2 linked regions of the Xenopus tropicalis genome follow. The protein of the gene in region 1 interacts with the protein of each later gene in a pairwise test. Links are inferred from orthologs where the notes say so. Each region holds a gene or a part of one and is shown on either strand. Other genes may lie near its edges.

Region 1 (4,453 bases):
TCAAATACGAATAAATGCAATATATATATAATTTATTTTTATTATTTTAAGTCGGGCAACCCGACACCTTTCCTTACAATATAAAATTGGGTCTGATATGATCAGGACCCATTAATCCTAGTGCAATACAATTAATATTAATAAAGAAATTCTTTTCACAGTTTTAGGTGCCTGGTGAAGTCTGGAGTCTTAAAGGAGAAAGAAAGTAAAAACTAAGTAAGCTTTATCAGAAAGGTCTTTGTAAATACAGCAATTAGCACTCACAGAAACGCTGCACTGACTTCTCTGTGCATTGTAAACATGTTCTTCACTATCAGACTTCTACGGAGACCAAGCTAAAATGGCAGCTGCAATCTCACACAAACAGAGGGAGCTTCAAGGGCTCTTTACTCAGGTATGGTAATGCTTTCTGCAGAATAAATAGAGTGTTCTAGGTAGCACTAATGTGGCTAATCTATTGGCAGTAAAATGCCAAAATGACTACACTGTGAATCCTGTGATCCCAGGAGGCGGCCCTTAATTCTTAAAATGGCAATTTTCTATTAAGGACTACCCAATAGCACATACTACTAAATAACTATATTTTATGAAAATGGTTTATTTAGATGAAGCAGGGTTTTACATACAGCATGAGCTACATTGTTTGGGGATATAGTTTTCCTTTAAGGAAATCCGTAAATTAATAAAGATAAGTTAAAGGGATGATTCACCTTTAAGTTAAATTTTAGTATGTTATAAAATGCCTTATTCCTAGCAACTATGTATGTAGTATATCTTTTCATTATTTATTTTTTATAGTTTTTAAATTTTTTTCCTTACTTTTACTGACCCCGACAGCCAAAAACTATTGGTTTGTGAGGCTACTAGTGCTACTTTTTATTACTTATCTTTATATGCAGGCCCTTTCCTTATCATATTCCCGTCTCTCATAGGGTAAATAAGAGCCTAGCAACCAGATAGCTGCTGAAATACCAAACTGGAGAGCTGCTGAACAAAAAGCTAAATAACTAAAAACCACTAAAAAAACAAAGACAAACTGCAAATTATCTCAGAATATCAATGTCTATATCACACTAAAAGTTAATTCAAAGGTGAACTCACCCTTTAACTATACATGGGACACCTTGATCTTTAACAAAATGTGTTAGATTGACTGTACTGTACCTGAGGAAATCTGGAGCTCTAACAATCATGTGCTGGAAGTCTTCCAGTGACAATTTTCCATCATTATCTACATCAGCCTCATCGATCACCTTCTCACACACCAGGCAAACTTCCTCAGGGGTAAGCTCATTCCGTGTTAGTTTGTTAAGTGTCTTCTCTAGGTCTGACTTGCATATGTAATCGTCATTATTAAAATCTGAATAAAAATAAATATACTCATTTTTGGAAGGCATATTGCAGCTGAATATTTATGAGGCAGAGAGATGTATGAAAAAACTGATGGGTTATTCCTTAACATTTTGTAGACCTTTTCTGGGGGTCTATTGTTTACATAACTGTAGCACCAGTGATTTTATTACTGTTGCAAATTGAGATATTAGAGCAGGGATCCTCAAAATATGGCCCATGGGTCGGATCCGGTCCCCCAAGGTAATTTACCCAGCCCCCGCTGTGTCCTCACCCCTGGTTACTACCTGTTTGCAGACGCAGCAGGGGAGCCGGAGGACATAGCGGGGGCAGGGAGCGGGAAGACACAGTGGGGAGTGGGCAAAAAGGGAGCGGGAGGACGCATTGGGGAGCAGGGAGACGCAGCCAGGTGAGCTGTAGTTTGAGGGCGTTTCAGGACTACAGTCCAGCCCCCCAACCCTACTTTTGCAAAACAGAAAGAATAATAAATTGAAAGCATAAATTCCTTCTCAACAGAACAGAACCAAAAGTGAACCAAACTGGGAGCACAAGTATGCATATATCTAGGGGCTGATTTACTAAGACACGATTTCAAATCCGAATTGGAAAAATTCCGATTGGAAACGAACATTTTGCGACTTTTTCATATTTTTTGCGATTTTTTCGGCGTCTTTACGATTTTTGCGTAAAAACGCGAGTTTTTCGTAGCCATTACGAAAGTTGCGCAAAGTCGCGATTTTTTCGTAGCGTTAACACTTGCGCGCAAAGTCGCGCCTTTTTCGTAGCGTTAAAACTTAAAAGGCGCGACGTTTCGCGCAAGTTTTAACGCTACGAAAAAATCGCGGCTTTGCACAACTTTCGTAAAGACGCCGAAAAACTCGCGTTTTTACGCAAAAATCGAAAAGATGCCGAAAAACTCGCAAAATTACTGATCATTACGAAAAAAACGCAATCGGACGCATTCGGCCCGTTCGTGGGTTAGTAAATGTGCCCCCTAGTGTGAGTGGGCTACTCAACATAAACACTTTCTTCAAGGAGATCAAGCACCAGTCATCTGTTTTCCTTATTGTCTGCCAAAACCATAACCCCAAAGTAACATCCACAGATGCAACCAGAATGATAAAGACTGCCAATAAAAACATAACTTACCATATATTTTAAAAGCATAGAAAGCTTTTAAGTCTTTGGGTGCCATTTCACTTAGTACTGAAAACATATCTAAGAAGTCATCCAATGTCATGTTTCCATCTCCATCCTCTGAAAAAACCTCAGCTATGCGTTGCCGAAAAGGATTATCCTGCCGAAGAAGAGACTGATGTCAGCCTTGGTAAATCAAAAGGAACCTCATTGATGTTACATTTTTTACAATCTAAAAAAAGTGTTTCTGTTATATTCTATATTTTCTGTTTTAGAAAACATTGTTATATTATGATACATTCATTTGAGAAAATACAGGTATAGGAAACCCATTATTTAGAAAGCTCTTAATTATGGCAAGGCCATCTTCTATAGAGGCCATTTTAAGCAAATAATTCTAGTTTTTAAAAATAACTAAGCTGCATAATTCCATATAAGAGTCAAACAGTCCAATTGGGTTTATTTATCGTTTAAAAAAACGCAGGTCCCAAGCATTCCATATAAGAACCTATACCTGTATCACCTTTTCTAGCTATGTTTTTCCCCGCAATTTTTTTTATTAGTGTTCAAGGTTCAGTCTAAAAGTAACAGGTGAATCAGAGTGCAGATTAGGTCAAATAAAATGTAACTGAGATGCAAAAGGCAACTTTTAACTTCACCAAGTATTTTGTTAGGCTTCAGTGATCTTCCCAAGTCATGCCAATTAGCACCTTCTGCATTATTAATGCAGCACCGGATTAGAGTGACATCTGGCAACCTTTGCCGTTGTTGCTTCTCTCGTGGTTTACCTTAAGCTCAGGCATACTGCCGATGAGCTCGTAAGGGATCTTCACATCTGGTTTATTTGTGTAGTCATCTGGAACAAGCTGTGGTGCCAAGTCCCGGTATCTGTTAAAAAGTCTTAATATGAAGAAAAATTGAGTACACATGTCGATGTTATTGAAATTCAGTTATATAACCTTTTCCTCTTGACTGCAGTATAAAGTGATACACTTATTGCATTAAAATACTTTGGTAAGTATATTGACATCACTTATATATTACTTCATAACATAAATGTGGTTACACTCTATAAGACAGAGGTAATTTTGAATGCTTATAAATGCATGTTTATTTTTTTACCAAGAGTATTAGATTTATTACATCCTCATCCGTTTAGTGGTGAGACAAACATTATATTTTATGAAGTAAAAAACGGCTGGAGATAAAAGCCTTTTTATTCTATTAAGACAAGTATCTTAAAATATGCACCCCCCCCCCCACCCTTTTGCATAAACACTTGCTGAACTCCCAAAAATACATATCAATCCATATATTTTACGCAGACATATTTGATTCCATAAAATAAATCATAATCGTCTGTGATCAAAGGGATCAGTTACCCACCCCACTCAGTCCTTCACCTTGTTGCACTGTGAAGTCATGAATTCTGGAACCTAAAGTCCCACTGCTTTCCAAATAATTATGGCCCGCTCATTAAAGAAAGCAGAAGGATTCCAGGTCCCAGAATCCATCACTTTACAATGAAACAAGGTGAGTCTATTATGGTTTCTGTCAGTGTGTGTAAAATAAAATATATATATTTTTATTTTGGAAAGTTCAGATAGTATTTATTTAGTTTATTGGCAACTAAATTAATGATCTTGGGGTTTTCTTGGGAATTTTGCAAAGATGTACTGTATATCTAAGGTTATTTATAACAGCATATCTTTTCCATTGCAGGAAATTCATAGCTACAAACTGGAAATCCCCAGATTCCCCCATGCTTAAGCAGTGGGTAGGAGTAATGAAAGAAACACTACAGATGGAGAGACTTGCTTGCTTACATTCTAGAGGTGGCTTTAAAAACATACCACGTATATGGAACTATTGGAATGCCTGTTATGTCGTGGTGGTGTAATGTGGCAGTAATGCAAATGACAAAGTAATGTACTTCATGTTTCCACTATATGAATTCACATTTGTG
Region 2 (5,017 bases), on another chromosome or scaffold:
TCACCCAGCTTATTTAGGCTGGGTGAAATCCCACTGGCCCGGATGGGATTCATCCCAGGGTATTAAATGAGCTGAGCGCTGTGATTGCCAAGCCTCTTCTGGCGGATTGCTAATGTGGTGCCATTATTTAAAAAGGGATCCCTTTCTCAGCCTGAAAACTATAGGCCTGTTAGTTTGACGTCAGAAGTAGGAAAACTTTTGGAAGGGGTAATAAGGGATAGGGTACTTGAATACATTGCAGTTCACAATACTATAAGTTTGTGCCAGCATGGTTTTATGCGTAACAGATCTTGCCAGACTAATTTAGTCGCCTTTTATGAGGAGGTGAGCAGGAACCTCGATGCGGGAATGGCAGTTAATGTCATCTACTTGGACTTTGCTAAAGCGTTTGATACAGTACCTCACAGAAGGTTAATGATCAAATTGAGGAATATTGGCCTAGAACATAATATTTGTAATTGGATAGAGAACTGGCTGAAGGACAGATTACAAAGAGTGGTGGTAAACGGAACATTTTCTAATTAGACAAGTGTGGTTAGTGGAGTACCGCAGGGGTCAGTCCTTGGTCCTTTGCTTTTTAACTTGTTTATTAATGACCTGGAGGTGGGCATAGACAGTACTGTTTCTATTTTTGCTGATGACACAAAATTGTGCAAAACTATAAGTTCCATGCAGGATGCTGCCGCTTTGCAGAGCGATTTGAAAAAATTGTAAAACTGGGCAGCAAACTGGAAAATGAGGTTCAATGTTGATAAGTGCAAAGTTATGCACTTTGGTAGAAGTAATATAAACACGAACTATCTACTGAATGGTAGTGTGTTGGGGGTTTCCTTAATGGAGAAGGATCTAGGGGTTTTTGTAGATAACAAATTGTCTAATTCCAGGCAGTGCCATTTTGTGGCTACTAAAGCAAATAAAGTGCTGTCTTGTATAAAAAAGGGCATTGACTCAAGGGATGAGAACATAATTTTGCCCCTTTATAGGTCCCTGGTAAGGGAGTATGCAGTGCAGTTTTGGGCTCCAGTCCTTAAGAAGGATATTAATGAGCTGGAGAGAGTGCAGAGACGTGCAACTAAACTGGTTAAGGGGATGGAAGATTTAAACTATGAGGTTAGACTGTCGAGGTTGGGATTGTTTTCTCTGGAAAAGTGGCGCTTGTGAGGGGACATGATTACTCTGTACAAGTACATTAGAGGGGATTATAGGCAGATGGGGGATGTTCTTATTTCCCATAAAAACAATCAACGCACCAGAGGTCACTCCTTTAGATTAGAGGAACGGAGCTTCCATTTGAAGCAGCGTAGGTGGTTTTTCACGGTGAAGGCAGTGAGGTTGTGGAATGCCCTTCCTAGAGATGTGGTAATGGCAGATTCCGTTAATGCCTTTAAGAGGGGCCTGGATGAGTTCTTGAACAATCAGAATATCCAAGGCTATTGCGATACTAATATCTACAGTTAGTATTAGTGGTTGTATATATAGTTTATGTATGTGAGTGTATAGATTGGTAGGTGTTGGTTGGGTGTGCTGGGCTTACTTGGATGGGTTGAACTTGATGGACTCTAGTCTTTTTTCAACCCTATGTAACTATATAGGAGTTCATGCAAATAGTCCTCTAGCTAGCATTTCTCTGAATCACAGGTGTTTAGAGGAGCTCCAGCCATGAGGCAGAACCCTGCATGTTACAATGGGTGGCAAAAGGCTGCTCCTGGTTACTTACAAGCTGAAGTTCAGATTTTTAAATTGGAATTTTGTCTGTTCTACTGCACAAAGCTATAAAGTTAATCAGGATGGGGTGAGGGGGGGTTGGCACCGCTCCAGCTGCCTCAGGGTGGCAGTGGTGGCTAAAATGCTCCTGCAGGTGTTGGCCAGAAGCTAAACATTGTGCACTGAAATAACTACCAGGGGAAAGGCAGTGAGACAATGACTGTATGTGGGGCCTGTTGATGTCTACTTCTGTTACTGACAAACTGTATGGCCAGCATAGAGATCTTTCCCACACTGTAAAAAAAATATTTTTCACCACACACTATACAAAATGGGTCAAAACTTTCCACAAGCTGTGCAGTATAGTGTCTGATCTCAACCACACTGTACAATACAGCATTGTCCAGACTGTACAATAAAAGACCTTATCACCATCACACTATACTATATAGTGCTCCTAAAATACTGCACTGTAAAGAGCAACAAGTGATACAATACAATAGTCTGGCCTGCAAACATGTGGTAGGAAGAAGTTAGACAGCACTACAATAATAAAATGATTCCCTCCCACATTGGACAGTATTGGGATATATAGTCAAATTTACCCCATGGAGAGTAACTGCATCGGTATAGGGTTTACAGTGATGTAACAGGCCTGGAAGAGCACAGAAAAGAAGTTATATGGTGTGAAGAGGCCAATCCTACTAATTACTAAGTACAGGGATCTGGGTGGTTTGCAATTAGTATTTTGCGTTATATTTTGTAAGGAGTTATGAGTTGAGAAGTCTGGAAAATATGGCACCAGAGCCCTTTGTCATGTAGATAAGACACTTAACCCCACATTATATAGTAAATAATGTTCCCCTATTGTAAAATATACTACTGTGGCACACATAATGTTGAGTTCTCTTGGGGTTTACTTGCATACTACAGGTATTGATCAGTGTTTCAGGCTGCATAATGGGTGCTGCAAGGGATTACATTTATAATTTCCTGAGTCCCTGTCCAGTTGAATCCCTACATCTGTTGAACTACCCCACACTAGCTACATGTCTATTTTTCCTCTCCTATGAGTATGCAATTACAAGGTCCTGTTCCCCCAGGAACACCAGGGGCCTGCACACAGAATCTTGCATGCACGACAGAGTGTGTACTTCAGATGACCCGTAACCAGGTGAAAACAGGCAAAAGATATGTTCACAGCAACCCCAAAAAACATACCTCAAATCAAAATAAACCCCAAAATAAAGCGATAAATAAATTATAAAATTTGTATTGGGATGGTAACACAAATCGTATCCGGTAAAATGTGGAGGCTCAGGTGTATAGACCCCGAGCCTATCTCCAAAGTATACGATCCCAAGCAGTTAAAGAGAATCAAAAAAGGTGAAGCGAAATTTAAATAACTTACCAAAGTCCAGAAGTGGTCCGGGCGCTCAAGGCCCCGAACCCGTAGCCGAAGGGGAAAATCATAAGTAGTTGAAGGAACTCCAACACACCGGACAGCGGAGTTTGCTAAAAAAAAAACGGTCTTTATTGTTTAATTTAAAAGCAAGGTGCCCAGCAACCCCATTCTGATTTACCTACAATTAGTAAAACATTTGTCTCCTCGATATCGCTCGCAATCTCTCGCTTTCTGTATGAAAGTACAAGAGCATAGTTGAGCAATTCAAATGTGTGGCAATGTATACTAATAAATATTCTATATTCTGAAATAGTGAGAAAAACCACAATATCATATGATTCAATTAGTACATCTGTATAGACCCTAGTTTTATCTTTCATTTAGTATTACTCTTGGCAATAAATATATTTACCCTATAGTTCAATCTGTACTGAAAGGAGAATATTATTTTCTCACAAGAATCTATTGATTTATCTATAATCTATTGATTACCTTTAATAGTGAAATAAAGCATTGAATTGTATTTTTTTGGGAACTGCATCCACTACACTTTGGTTGAATTGCTTGTGACTCAGAGACACAGTTAAGTGTAAGCAAGACACAGATGATTCAGGTTTTTGCCTGCAGAGGCGGATTTGTCACATAGCTTTGTATGACACACACATACAAACAAAATCTATTCCATCCCACATATCCCACCTTCTCCACGCCCCCTCATGCTCTGCCATCAGTTGTGTCTAAAAATGAGGAAAGCAGATACTGTTTTAAAGGGAGATATATAGTGATATATAGTGTGAAATATATATATATATATATATATATATATATATACCTTCTGTAGAAATGTTTATCCAGGCTTATATACCTTCTGTAGAAAGAAAGTTCCCAGACTGTATAAATTTACTAGGCTTCAGATTATATTGCATACAGAGCATTATATTTGTTAACAAGTTGTACATTTTCCCTTGTAAAACATCACAGCTGCACTTACAATTATCAGAGAATGCATGAAAATGTAGTTACACAACAGCTGGGGGACTATGCCATTTCCCTGAAGGTTTAGTTAGGGGTAAAGTACATTATGCAGAGTATTACAAGTGCACAATTACTGCAATGTTATTTTGTTGTAATCACTTTGTGGAATAAGTTATAACACTATAATTATACAGTAAAACCAAAAATAATATAGGGCTCATTTACTAAGCAAGTCCAGATGGGGCGATTGCAACATTTCTTAATGGCATAAGGGAGATCAACTTTGCTTTGCTAGAGATACAAACTGTGGATTTCAAGGATCTTGGATTGACAGTCCAGTACTGCCACATTTTATCTTTTGCTACCCTTGATTAAGACACACTAGGAAGGGTTGGACTGCGTTGTAATGCCTTATGGCTGACATAACGGCATGTATCAGACTCTTCGTAGAAATAATCAGGAGGAACCCTTTATACAATATGTACAGCATTTAGAGCTTGTGGGTGATGCAATTTAGGAGTGCCCATATTGCAAATAGGTTCTGCATGTATTCCCCTAGTTTTGGTCCTCTTGTAATTATGGCATTAGGATGACTGTGGCTTTGGAACACTTTATTAGTAAGGAGCAGGTATGGGGGCAACGAAGTCACCCTCACTTGCCATCTTACACACAAGTGGTGGGGTTTGCCTTAGGCACCTGTTTGCCTTGGCCCAGCACAGATTGTAAGTCTCACATACATACACACGTGAGAAGTGGAAGGAAAATCATACATGATTCCAAAATTTTTTACAAATAAATAACTGCAAAGTGGGGTGTGCGTAATTATTCAGCCCCCCCTTGGTCTGAGTGCAGTCAGTTGCCCATAGACATTGCCTGATGAGTGCTAATGACTAAATAGAGTGCACCTGTGTGTAATCTAATGTCAGTACAAAT

What was found. The genes of interacting proteins can lie anywhere in the genome.
Region 2: the proteins of cib3 (region 1) and sertad1 interact in binary tests that used the Homo sapiens proteins (3 or more experiments, as listed by UniProt). The two-hybrid records come from large-scale screens. The link is inferred for Xenopus tropicalis from reciprocal best matches to the Homo sapiens genes CIB3 and SERTAD1.

What each region holds. Positions count from the first base shown.
Region 1 is NC_030677.2:104,271,747-104,276,199, reverse strand, and holds part of cib3 (calcium and integrin-binding family member 3), read right to left. Parts: intron 3,388-4,453; coding exon 3,276-3,387; intron 2,648-3,275; coding exon 2,500-2,647; intron 1,361-2,499; coding exon 1,165-1,360; coding exon of another isoform or gene 1,098-1,164; exon of another isoform or gene 1,026-1,097; intron 1-1,025. UniProt on the Homo sapiens protein: Acts a an auxiliary subunit of the sensory mechanoelectrical transduction (MET) channel in hair cells. Plays a role in regulating hair cell MET channel localization and function.
Region 2 is NC_030684.2:78,227,942-78,232,958, reverse strand, and holds the start of sertad1 (SERTA domain-containing protein 1), read right to left. Parts: upstream 3,138-5,017; 5' UTR 3,116-3,137; intron 1-3,115. UniProt on the Homo sapiens protein: Acts at E2F-responsive promoters as coregulator to integrate signals provided by PHD- and/or bromodomain-containing transcription factors. Stimulates E2F1/TFDP1 transcriptional activity.